Linked DNA regions of Canis lupus familiaris. The protein of the gene in region 1 purifies or fractionates together with the protein of each later gene. This does not show direct contact. Links are inferred from orthologs where the notes say so. Each region holds a gene or a part of one and is shown on either strand. Other genes may lie near its edges.

Region 1 (5,554 bases):
GGGTTGAGCGACTGCCTTTGGCTCAGGGCGTGATCCTGTAGTCCCAGGACTGAGTCCCGCATTGGGATCCCTGCATGGAGCCTGCTTCTCTCTCTGCCTCTCTCTCTCTCTCTCTCTCTATGTCTCTCATAAATAAATAAAATATTAAAAAATAAAAAGATAAATCCTACAATGAAATTTAGATCAAGCTCATAAAGATTACAATAGCTGGCCTAGCTTCTGAATCCATGGTAAACCAAACAACAATCTGTTAGTTCAGGTGACTCTTGTGAATTTGGAGATTGTAAGTGAACATATATATCGTTTTCTTCTAAATAACTTATGAAAAATTATTTATCTTCATTCCCACAACATAACAAGATGTTTTATGAACTCTAGTTTTCTTTGATAGGAGGAAAAGTAGTAATTTATCAAATTTGAAATCACCTGCAAAGCTTGAATACTGGTATTAGAAAGACACATGCTATAATGAAATAATTTGAAATGTAAACGTTACAAGAAACATCTGTCAATTTTATCTGTGAATTATTTAGCAGTAATTCATTATTAAAAATGCAAATAATGGGAATAAATTGAAAAAATAACCTACAATACTGTAAACAACCAAAATGTTTGAAGGCTCAAAATAAAAAAGGAATCTACTTTCTAAAATACTATTTTTTAAAAACTCATTGATTCAGGTACTACTAATGCGGATTTTACTATTTCCTGAATGCTAAACCAAGATTAGCACAGGGGTGTGGGAGAGTTAGATAAAATAATGGTGTAAAGAAGATCTACTAAGGTCAGGAAATTACTTCACAAGCTATTTTCAAGTACTTAGAAAACCACTTTTAAAGGATGCTGTTTTGAGAATACACTATAAAGAATATATTAACACACACTTAAAACATTAAGATAAGAAACCTCATACACACACACACACATGCATGCTGATATTTGAAAATCTGTAATTCAGACTTTCTATTGATGTCAGGGAACTCTTGCTCTTCAATTTCCCTCTACCTAATGCAAACATCACACTTAAAGGAGGAAGGGAAAAAAAGGAAATGTAGAGTTTCATATTTTAACTCATATTTCATAGATACAGCTGAACTAAATGAACCAGAAAAAAACATTAATATATAAACTTATCTAAATCAGTACTTAAACAGTCCAACTAATACAGGACCAAACAAATTTACTCATGCAGAACACACAGTATTAAAATTCGTTTGGGACGCCTGCTCAGGCGTGAGCTGAGGGTGGCTCAGCGTTTGGGTGTCTGCCTTTGGCTCCGGGTATGATCCCAGAGTCCCAGGATCAAGTCCCAGGATGAGTCCCGTATCTGGCTCCCTGCATAGAGCCTGCTTCACCCTCTGCCTGTGTCTCTGCCTCTCTCTCTGTCTCTCATGAATAAATAAATAAAATCTTAAAAAAAAAAAAAAAAGGTTCGTCTTATTAAACTAAAATTAAGTTCTTTTTCAAAAAAAATTAAGAGAGGGGCAGCCTGGGTGGCTCAAGGCAGTTTGAGCACCTGCCTTCGGCCCAAAGCATGATCCTGGAGACCAGGGATGGAGTCCCATGTCAGGCTCCCTGTATGGAGCCTGCTTCACCCTCTGCCTATGTCTCTGCCTCTCTCTCTCTCTCTCTATCGTGAATAAATAAATAAACTTTAAAAAAAATTAAGAGAAATACTGCACATCTTTTTTAGGTTAATGATTTAAAAAATCACTCTCCACTAATGTTTAATTTTAAGACCACTCTAGGTTACTTATCCTAGAACAAATGCACAAGCATGTATAAGGATGTTCAGTGCAATGCCTCAGTAACAACCAAGATCTATTTCCAGAGGAAAGGTTTGAGTCTACTACTGTACTGTCATACAGTTAAACATTATGTGGTAGTTTAAAAGACTGAATAGGTCTATTTTTACTGCCTGGAAAGATCTCTAAGACCTAATGTAGAAGTAAGTTGTAAAACAAAGTTTACAAAAGGACACCATATATACAAGTTTCACAGACACACAAAAGCACACAGAACTTTGGCATTTCTGTATGTACATATGTGCTTGTAAAAATGGAAAGATAAAGGTCTGGAAAAATATTCAGGAAACAGAGAACAGTTACCTCTAAAAGTGTGTGTGTAAAACTGGAATGGGAGGGAATCACAGGGATTTCTGCTTCATTTTTATTATGTCTGTACAACGAGAATGTATTCATATGTCACTTGAGACACTAAAAAACAAGAATAAGAAAAAAAAAATGCTTGCTCAGTTCTCTCAAATCATTTACAAACCAGAACCGTTAGGTGTAAGGAGATTTCATTTTCTTCTACCGACTTGAAGGCAAAAACCAAATGTCATCAACAGTACTTCCTTAGCAGAAAGTGACAAAACTGGAAAGAAAAACGTTTTAAATGTCTTACCGACAAATAAAAAAGAACAAAGTGGCGCTGGAGAGACGGCAGAGGAAGAAACCAAAAAAGACCCTTAACTCAAAACGTCCACTTTCAAGATCCTGGACTGTTTGAGCTAGCTCAGCTTGACCCAGAATCCTCATATAACCAATTTACCCAAAACGGGGGGGAAAAAAAAAAAAAAAAGTGGAATACTGTTCCCTCAAGTATTGAAGGTTGTTTTTAGAAAGCTTAACTAAGAAACCGTAAATGCCAAGTGTGTTTTACAGGGGTGGGAAGAGGAACATGAAACCCTACACCTCCTGAAAGCGGTCAAAACGAACTGAAGAGCACAGGGGAACCGGGGAAGCGCGCGGGGGTGGGGAGAGCTCGGCTATCACTTTTGGGCTTTGGCTGGGCGCCGCACCACAGTTTACGCCGAGTCCGTGTGGTGCACGAAGTCCCTCAAGGTGGCCGCCGCGCCGCGGCCGACACCCCAGCCCTCCGAAGACTGAGAGGAGGCGAGTGCTGTCAACAAAAACTTAGTCCTTCGGCGGAGCGGGGAGAGCGCTGGAGGGGAGCACAAGCGCCAACTTTGGCTCCAAACGAAGCAGCTCCGGGAGGCTGGGCAAGTCTTCTCCCGAACCGCACTCCACACGCGCCCCCAACACCTTTCCCGGCCAGTAGCGTCTGCCGCCCACCCGGCCCCCTGAGGGAAACCCAGCAAGGGCGGCGGCCGGCAGCACGCAAGGGGGCTTGGCCGTGGGAGGACACCCGCACCGGGGGCGCCAGCCAACGTCCACCCAGCACCCCGGGGTCTCCGGGGCGGCCCCGCCGAGGCGCTTCCCCACCAACAGCCCCCGCGGCGCGGCCCCCTCCCCCCCTCTGGGCGGCGACCTCAGCGCCTCCGCCCCCGGGCCCCCGCGCCCCCGCTCACCCAGGTAGCGGCTCCGCAGCCGGGACGGGTCCTCCAGCCCGAGGGACCTTTTCCTCACGTCCCACAACAGGTGTGGGCAGGAGCCACCCCGAGACATGGCTCTGCCGGGCCGGGGTAGAAGGGGAGACCACCGCGTGGGGGAGGGGAGAAGGGGGAGGGGACACCGCGGATCAACACCCGAGCCGCACCGGCACCATCCGCGCGCCGGGCCTCGCGGGCGCTGCGAGTTAGATGGCGGCGGCGCCCTCGCCCCCGAAGCCCGGCCGCGCCCGGGCCGGAGCTCGCCTCATACTCTCCTTCTCAGACTACCCAGAACATCCAGAGATCAGCAACAGTCCCCTCCCTCGGCCCCCCTCCGACAGGAGGAGGAGGAGGCGGAGGCGGCCGCGACTCCTCCCTCTCCTCGTTCTCGACACCCTCCCTTCCAAGCGCTTCTCGCGAGATGACGACCACCCCCGGGGCTGACGCTCGTCTGCGCCACGGCTGACGAGCAGAACCCTAGGAAAGTGGGTTCTGTAGCTAACTCCTTGATTCTCTACGGATAAGTGAGGCATAGAGAGAGGAGGAGCTGAGATGTGAGGTCTCTCAGTCACAAGGCTCATTCCAAGGGAAGCAAGAGCGTTGTGCGGCGTCATCTTTAGTTGGGGCACTGAAGGCCCGGAAAGCCCATTTTAACTGCGGGCTGTCTTAAAGCGGAGGGGGATTAGAGCCCGTGCAGCTTCACTTTCCCTTCTCCAACATGGCCTCGAGGGCAGGAAGGAGAAATTGGAGGTTCGCGCTGGACCCCGCCCGCACCACGAGGCGGGCCAATCACCGTGGGGCGGCCGTGCTTGCGCAGGCGCGCTGCCGCCGGGGCGCCGGGTTGGCGTGGGGAGGCAGTCCTCCAGGCACCTGTTGCCATGACTCCTCCTCCTCCTGGGCAGCGGGAGTGAAGGAGGCGGGCCCGGGGCGGGCCGTCGCTGTATCTCCGCCCCCTCAGTGCTTTCCTGGGTTCTCGCCACCCCTGTGGTTCGCAGGGGGCAGCCTGAGCCGCGGGAAGGGCAACCTCGGAGAGAGGAGGACGCTAGGCGCTGTGGCAGGAGAAAGTGACGAGTGCCCTTCGTTGTCATCCAGGGAGCAGCACGCGGCCGCTCTCCCTCTCGACCGCCCACGACCACTCGTCCGCAGAGATGTCAGCCGCTGGCGCCCGGGGCCTTCGGGCCACCTACCACCGGGTCCTGGATAAAGTGGAGCTCCTGCTGCCGGAGAAATTGAGGCCGCTGTACAACCACCCGGCAGGTAACAGACCCGGAATAGCTCTCAGCGAGACCTTCACTCCCCCCCCCTCGTCGGAAATAGACCTTTAGCGGCCACGGACAACTCCGCCGCTGGAGGTATCGCCCGCAGCCCCAACTACTTCCCTTCAAGCGAGCCCGGTCTCACTTTCCCGTCCTCCCTGCTTTTCACTTTATCTCCTCCAACATCTCTCGTTAAACCTGAGATTATCGATTCTGTGCCCTTCGCGACCTTTGCTGCACCCCATCCCTTAGGCACGACCCACACCCCGGCCCGGGCCTCTGGGTTTGAGCCTTCTCGCTTCCCGCGGCCACAGATCGGCCTGGGCCCCCACGAGATTCTCATTCTCTCCCCTTATCCTCCACGAGTACTGGTGTATATTGATCCACGCGGATCTTGTCGCACCGGTTTGGAGTAAAGGTCACACTTCCCTCAGCTCCAGCTGGCCGAGGCCTGCAGATGCGTTACCCGGGTTTCCGAGTCAGTGTCATACCTAGTCCCATAGATCCAGTTTGTTGAAGGCTGTCCTTTCTGACTGATTCTCCCTAGACTTTTTCATGTGGGCAGACCCGGATTTAATTCTGTTGTGCCTCTTACTATGTAGCTGTGACCTTGGGCGAAATCCTAGATAGTTTAGTCCCTGTAAAATCTGCTCAGTGTGAGAATTAAAGATAACATGCGTTTGAGTCTTCATAAATGCCTAACAAGTGTTAGCTCTCACTTGTCCTGCTGGAAAACACTGTTCTTGTGGCTGAAAAAAAAAAATAGTATAAGAAACTGGAAGATCCCAATCCTTCCAACTCTTCAAGACCTAGAGTTTTGTTACCTCTTCTATAAAACGGGCGGTAATATTACTTGGCTGGTAACTAAAACCCGAGGTACTGAGGTCTATTTCAAGCTTAAAATTTAGTGAATGAGAAAATATGTTACAAATTGAAAGGTTGAAGTGCACCCCAAAAGTGACTC
Region 2 (5,189 bases), on another chromosome or scaffold:
CTGCTTCAAAGAAATCATTGTGGTTCCAGGGCTCACATCCAAATTGGACTCCCCTAGTGTCGCTGCCCCTTGGCCCTCTGCCTGGCAGGGGGAGGCCTTATGTAGCCCGGCTTGGCTCCACTGAGCTTTTCTTGGGAATGTCTATAAATAGAGGAAGATGGCAGCCCAGCTGCCACTGTCTATCTGCCTTTCCTTGGAATCCAGCCTCCTTTCGCTGGCCCTGGGCTCTGCGCTCAGTTGCCTTAGTGCTCTTTCTGTTGACTTAGCTGCTGTCCACAGCCTCGGCTACCTCTCCAACACCCAGCCCAGACCCTGGGTGTTGGGCTCAGTATGGACTAGACTTGCTCTGCCCATCCCTTCACTCTCCAGATGGCCGGCCAAGCTGCTCCAGACTTCTTCACCGAGCTCTAGGAAAGGGCCTGCTGCCCCTTTACCCACCTAGAGAACCTGCCCCCAGTCCCCCTCTCCCTCAAAAAAAGTGAATCACAAACACCGTTTCCCTGGAGCAGGTAAACTCGAAAGATCTGCTTTCAATGTTTATTTATTAATTAAAAGATTGTATTTATTTATTCAGAGAGATACAGAGAGAGAGAGAGAGGCAGAGACATAGGCAGAGAGAGAAGTAGGCTCCCTGTGGGGAGCCCAATGTGGGACTCCATCCCTAGACTGGGATCATGCCCTGAGCCAAAGGCAGACACTCAGCTGCTGAGCCACCCAGGCATCCCTCAATGTTTATTTCTCTTCCAAATGCATACCCATCTCCTGGATCTGTAGATTTCTCCTTTGGACAGGTCCCCTCCTGGCTGTCCCAACTTCCCTTCAGGAATAATAAGAATCATTGACATGACTATAGACCTTTGTGATTTAACAAAGCTCCCCAGTAAAAAGGGAATAATAATAGCTTCTCCCCTATAGATGACGACTAGGTGAGATCACATGGTTAAAATGCTTAGCATGGAGTGTGAACCTAGAGGTTCAGTGACTGGCTGTCATTCTCTCCTCCTCCCCTCCCCTGCCCTCTAGCATGGTTCAGACAGGACATTCCACTTGCCAAGCACCAACCCTATAGAGCAGGCACAAGCTCGGCGACTTACACCTGGGCCCCATTTCTCATTGGTCTCTCTGTGAGGGCGGGTCATGACTGTCCCCATCTCCACCTCACAGAGAAGGAAACTGAAGCTCAGAAACTGAAGCTCAGAGTGGCATGTCACCTGCCTAAGAGTACACAGCTTGCAAAGAAAGTATTGGGTTTAAGACTTCAAGGCTCGTGCTCTTTCCTGTCTGCCATGCTGCTTCAACTTTTCTGGATTCTGATTATCCTCACCCATCTTGGAGCAAGCGTGTTTCTTGAGCAGGGGCTCCCTAAAGCAGTGGAGCAGGGCGGGTTCTTCTCCCAAGAATCTAGGACGTCAAGGCCTGCCACCTGCTCACAGGCTTAAATTTCTCTGCAAGGGCCCTTGGCTAAATTAGGTAATGGGCCAGGACTCTGGAATGGGGGTGGGGGAGGAAAGGAGGAGGTGCTCACTGACCCCAGGATCTGATTGGCCAGGGCAATTAGTCCTGGGGAGCAGAGAGGTGGGAGGAGAGGGTGCCCCTACAAATCCAAGGTGCTGGAGCAGGCCAGGGTATCTTTGGGTGGTGGAGTGCTGAGGAGGTGACTGACCTGAAGCAGGGGAGGCCCAGTGACTTGCAACCATGGTAAGGACAAGAAGGAACTTCATCCCTTTGCTTGCTGGAGCACTTCTGGACCTCTTCCAGGCCAGATCTGGGTGCTCTGTAGTTCAGTAATTGGACGTTTAAAGATGGAACATGTAGGCTCCTGGAGCCTAGATGTCTAGGAGGAAGCCTGGGAAGAAGGCCTTGGACTTCTCTAGGAAGGGGAGGGCTGGGTGCTCTGGGATTGCCAACTCCCTGCAGACCTAAGGCTTTGGCAGTGTTGGCCACGGAATTGTGAGGGGGGTGTTAGCTTGTCTCCCTCACGGTGGAGGTGGGGACCCTGAGGGCCAGAGTGAGTCACCTAGCAAGCCAGTGGCTGGGGTGAGCTAGCTGGAGGTCTTGCCAAATCATCCTACTGCCGGTGAGAGGAGTCCTCTAGAAGAAGGGAGGCCTACAGAGCTTCAAGCCAGCTAAGGTGCAGGATCCCAAGAGCTATGAGGGAGAGAAGGGGCAGAAGATGATAGACCAAGGTTAGAGACCCCAGCCTCCCAGAGAGGGAGGTCATTTCCCCTGAGGTCCCTCTCCCCACTTCAAGGGGTAACTAGACCCCACAGGACAGCTGCTGTTGCCCATGCCAGGCTAAAAATAGCCTGCCCTCCTGCATGGTCAAGGAGGAGGGAGGAGGGGAGGGTAAGGAGGAGGGCAGTGGCTAGCTGGCCGCCGAAGAAGGCCTTGGCCACCTCAGCCCCTCCTCCCCGCCAGCCTCAGTCCAAAGTCCCATAGCCAGATGGCTTGGCTTGGATGTGGCCAGATCGCCTCCCCCGAAATCTTATTTCCACCTCCACAAGGCCCCCATTATATTCTGTCCAGCATGATTATGATTTACTCCAATGGCTAAGTGATAAGAAGGGAGCTTAAAATCTCCATCTCCACAAGTTGTCGGAGGGAAGGGATGGGTGTCTGGGTCTTCTTGGCCTCAGTGTCCAGTGTCTGGCCTGACGCTTAGTTGGGGCTCAATGACTCTGCCTTGCATTATTGAGAACATTTACTGAGCCCCTATTATAGTACCAGGCTCTACTGGGAGCTGGGGGACACTGAAAAATGATGCTGGAATAGTGCTGGTACTTTACAAAACTCTTTGACGTCTCTGATCTTTTCATTCTTGAAAAGCAGCTGAGAAGAGCTAGAGTAGAATAAGTGACTTGCCCAAGGTTAGAAAGGGGGATTCCTGACTTGACATCTGATTAGCAGGTTTGGAGACCCTGGGCATAATCTGTTTCCTCCTTGTTCTTCAAAACTGGGGTTCAGGTGCTGCGGGAGCATGCAGAAGGTGTTGTTAGTTTGGAACTGTTCTTCTGGAAGACCAAAGGGCACTGACAGAAAGGGGTTGAAGAGAAGGGGGTTAAGGCAAGAATGAGCTCTGGGGCCACCCCTTCTGCTGGCTGACTCTGTGTCTCCTGCAGACGGACCAGCAGGCGGAGGCCCGGTCCTACCTCAGCGAGGAGATGATCGCTGGTGAGTGCGGGCCGGCGGGCGGGTGGCTGCGTGCTGGGCAGTGCTGGGGGCTGGGCAGGGTGGGAGGGAGGGTGTGAGGCTGACAGTCCAGCCAGGCCCACCTCGGTCCTCTGCCTCGCTCAGAGTTCAAGGCTGCCTTCGACATGTTCGACGCTGATGGTGGCGGGGACATTAGCGTCAAGGAGTTGGGCACGGTGATGAGGATGCTGGGCCAGACCCCCACCAAAGAGGAGCTGGACGCCATCATCGAGGAGGTGGACGAGGATGGTGAGCAGGTGGCCCTCCAGGGGCTGCGACTGCGGCGGGCGGGGTGGGCCCGCAGGGCTCAGGCTCACTCGCCACCTGCTCGCCTCAGGCAGCGGCACCATCGACTTCGAGGAGTTCTTGGTCATGATGGTGCGCCAGATGAAAGAGGATGCGAAGGGCAAGAGCGAGGAGGAGCTGGCCGAGTGTTTCCGCATCTTCGACAGGTGCACTGAGGGCTGGGGAGCCGAGAAGGCGCTGGGCTGGGCGAGTGCGCGGACCAGGCGGCGCGGGTGGGCGGTGTGGGGGTGTGGGGGGCGGCTCGCCCCCGCCTGTCCTGACACCCTGTCCCTTCGCCCCAAGGAACGCAGACGGCTACATCGATGCGGAGGAGCTGGCTGAAATCTTCAGGGCCTCCGGGGAGCACGTGACAGACGAGGAGATTGAGTCCCTGATGAAAGACGGCGACAAGAACAACGACGGCCGCATCGACTTCGACGGTGAGGGCGGGCGCGGGGCGCGGGGCGCGGGGCGCGGGGCGGGGCTCCCACGCGGCCGTCCGTGGCTTTGTCCGCAGGGCGGGAGCCCCGGCGGTGCGTGCGACTGACGCTTCCGCGCTCCATCCCCGCAGAGTTCCTGAAGATGATGGAAGGCGTGCAGTAAGAAGTCGCCCCCGCATCCGCCCCGACGCGCGTCCCTCGGGCGAGGGCGGGCCCGGCACCCCCGCCCCGCCCCGTCACGGCCTCAGCCCCAGGAGGGAGGCGCGGCCCCTGCGGGCTCTGTGTGCAGGGGAATAAAAGCAGACACTGCGAAGCGCGTAGCCTGAGTGAGGGTGTCAGGGCCCGCCTGGCTGGGCCGCCGTCCGGGGCACCACCCGAGCGCCTCGGGGCTCCAAGGAGCGGGCACCCGAGTTGCGGGACGCACCGAGGCGCGGGACCCCGGGCAGGTTCCCGGGCGCTGGCGCTGGGCGTGCACAGCTCGGCCGGCGGGGTTGCCGCGGCGCCTGGCGCTGGAGGAGGGAGGCCGGCGGTGGGGGTGCGGGTTGGCGCTTGGAGCTGTCGGGGTGAGGGTGCCGGGGATGGCGGGTAGGGTGAGGGCGCGGCAGGAGGCTGGAACCCGCGGGAGGCCGAGGTGAGGCCCCTTTCCTTCCCCGCCGTCGTTCCTTTCTGGAGCCTTTGGGTCTGGGGTGCAAGCTACCGGGCTGGCGATGGAGAAGCGGGTATCGTATCCATCCGTTCCAGGCAGCATTCACTCTTGGTTGACTTTTTCTACTTCGTCTGTTCTGAGCGTTTATAGGTGCTCCATACTGGAGATGGGAGAGGAGGGTAGGGGCACACAGCCGGGAAGGAGGTTCTGACGTCATCATCTCCACCCTGCATCCCTGCCTCCAGCTCCCGCCAATGCCAGTGTGCTCAACATGGGGCCATTAGCAAGATCTAGCTAAAAGAAATCTGACCTGGCTGCTCCCTTGTTGAAATACCCTCAGGGCTCCCCTTCGCTTCTAGAATCAAGTCCAAATTCCTTTCCCCTCCTACCCCTCTCAGGTTCCAGCCACACCGGGTAATCTATCCTTACTGCTCTGGACAGTGGAGGTGCACTTTGAAGCTTTTGGGCTTTTGCTCATGCTGGAATGCCCTTCCTCCTCTAATAAGCCTGGCAAATTTTTCAGCCCAGCTCAGATACCATCTTCTCCCTTGATCCCTCTGCCACTGGCTGTGCTCTGGCTTCTATAGCTCTTTGCACACAACTCAGTTCTAGCAGGCCTCAGGGCCAAG

Evidence for each region.
Region 2: the proteins of DCAF6 (region 1) and TNNC2 purify together in Homo sapiens (affinity purification with mass spectrometry; 3 studies listed by BioGRID and IntAct, with this or other methods). This does not show direct contact. The link is inferred for Canis lupus familiaris from reciprocal best matches to the Homo sapiens genes DCAF6 and TNNC2.

What each region holds. Positions count from the first base shown.
Region 1 is NC_049228.1:30,468,211-30,473,764, forward strand, and holds the start of DCAF6 (DDB1- and CUL4-associated factor 6), read right to left. Parts: upstream 3,704-5,554; 5' UTR 3,411-3,703; coding exon 3,314-3,410; intron 1-3,313. Other genes in the region: MPC2 (mitochondrial pyruvate carrier 2), read left to right, coding at 4,483-4,591. UniProt on the Homo sapiens protein: Ligand-dependent coactivator of nuclear receptors. Enhance transcriptional activity of the nuclear receptors NR3C1 and AR. May function as a substrate receptor for CUL4-DDB1 E3 ubiquitin-protein ligase complex.
Region 2 is NC_049245.1:33,758,945-33,764,133, reverse strand, and holds TNNC2 (troponin C, skeletal muscle), read left to right. Parts: upstream 1-1,574; 5' UTR 1,575-1,695; coding exon 1,696-1,698; intron 1,699-3,119; coding exon 3,120-3,171; intron 3,172-3,294; coding exon 3,295-3,438; intron 3,439-3,526; coding exon 3,527-3,641; intron 3,642-3,777; coding exon 3,778-3,914; intron 3,915-4,045; coding exon 4,046-4,077; 3' UTR 4,078-4,234; downstream 4,235-5,189. UniProt on the Homo sapiens protein: Troponin is the central regulatory protein of striated muscle contraction. Tn consists of three components: Tn-I which is the inhibitor of actomyosin ATPase, Tn-T which contains the binding site for tropomyosin and Tn-C.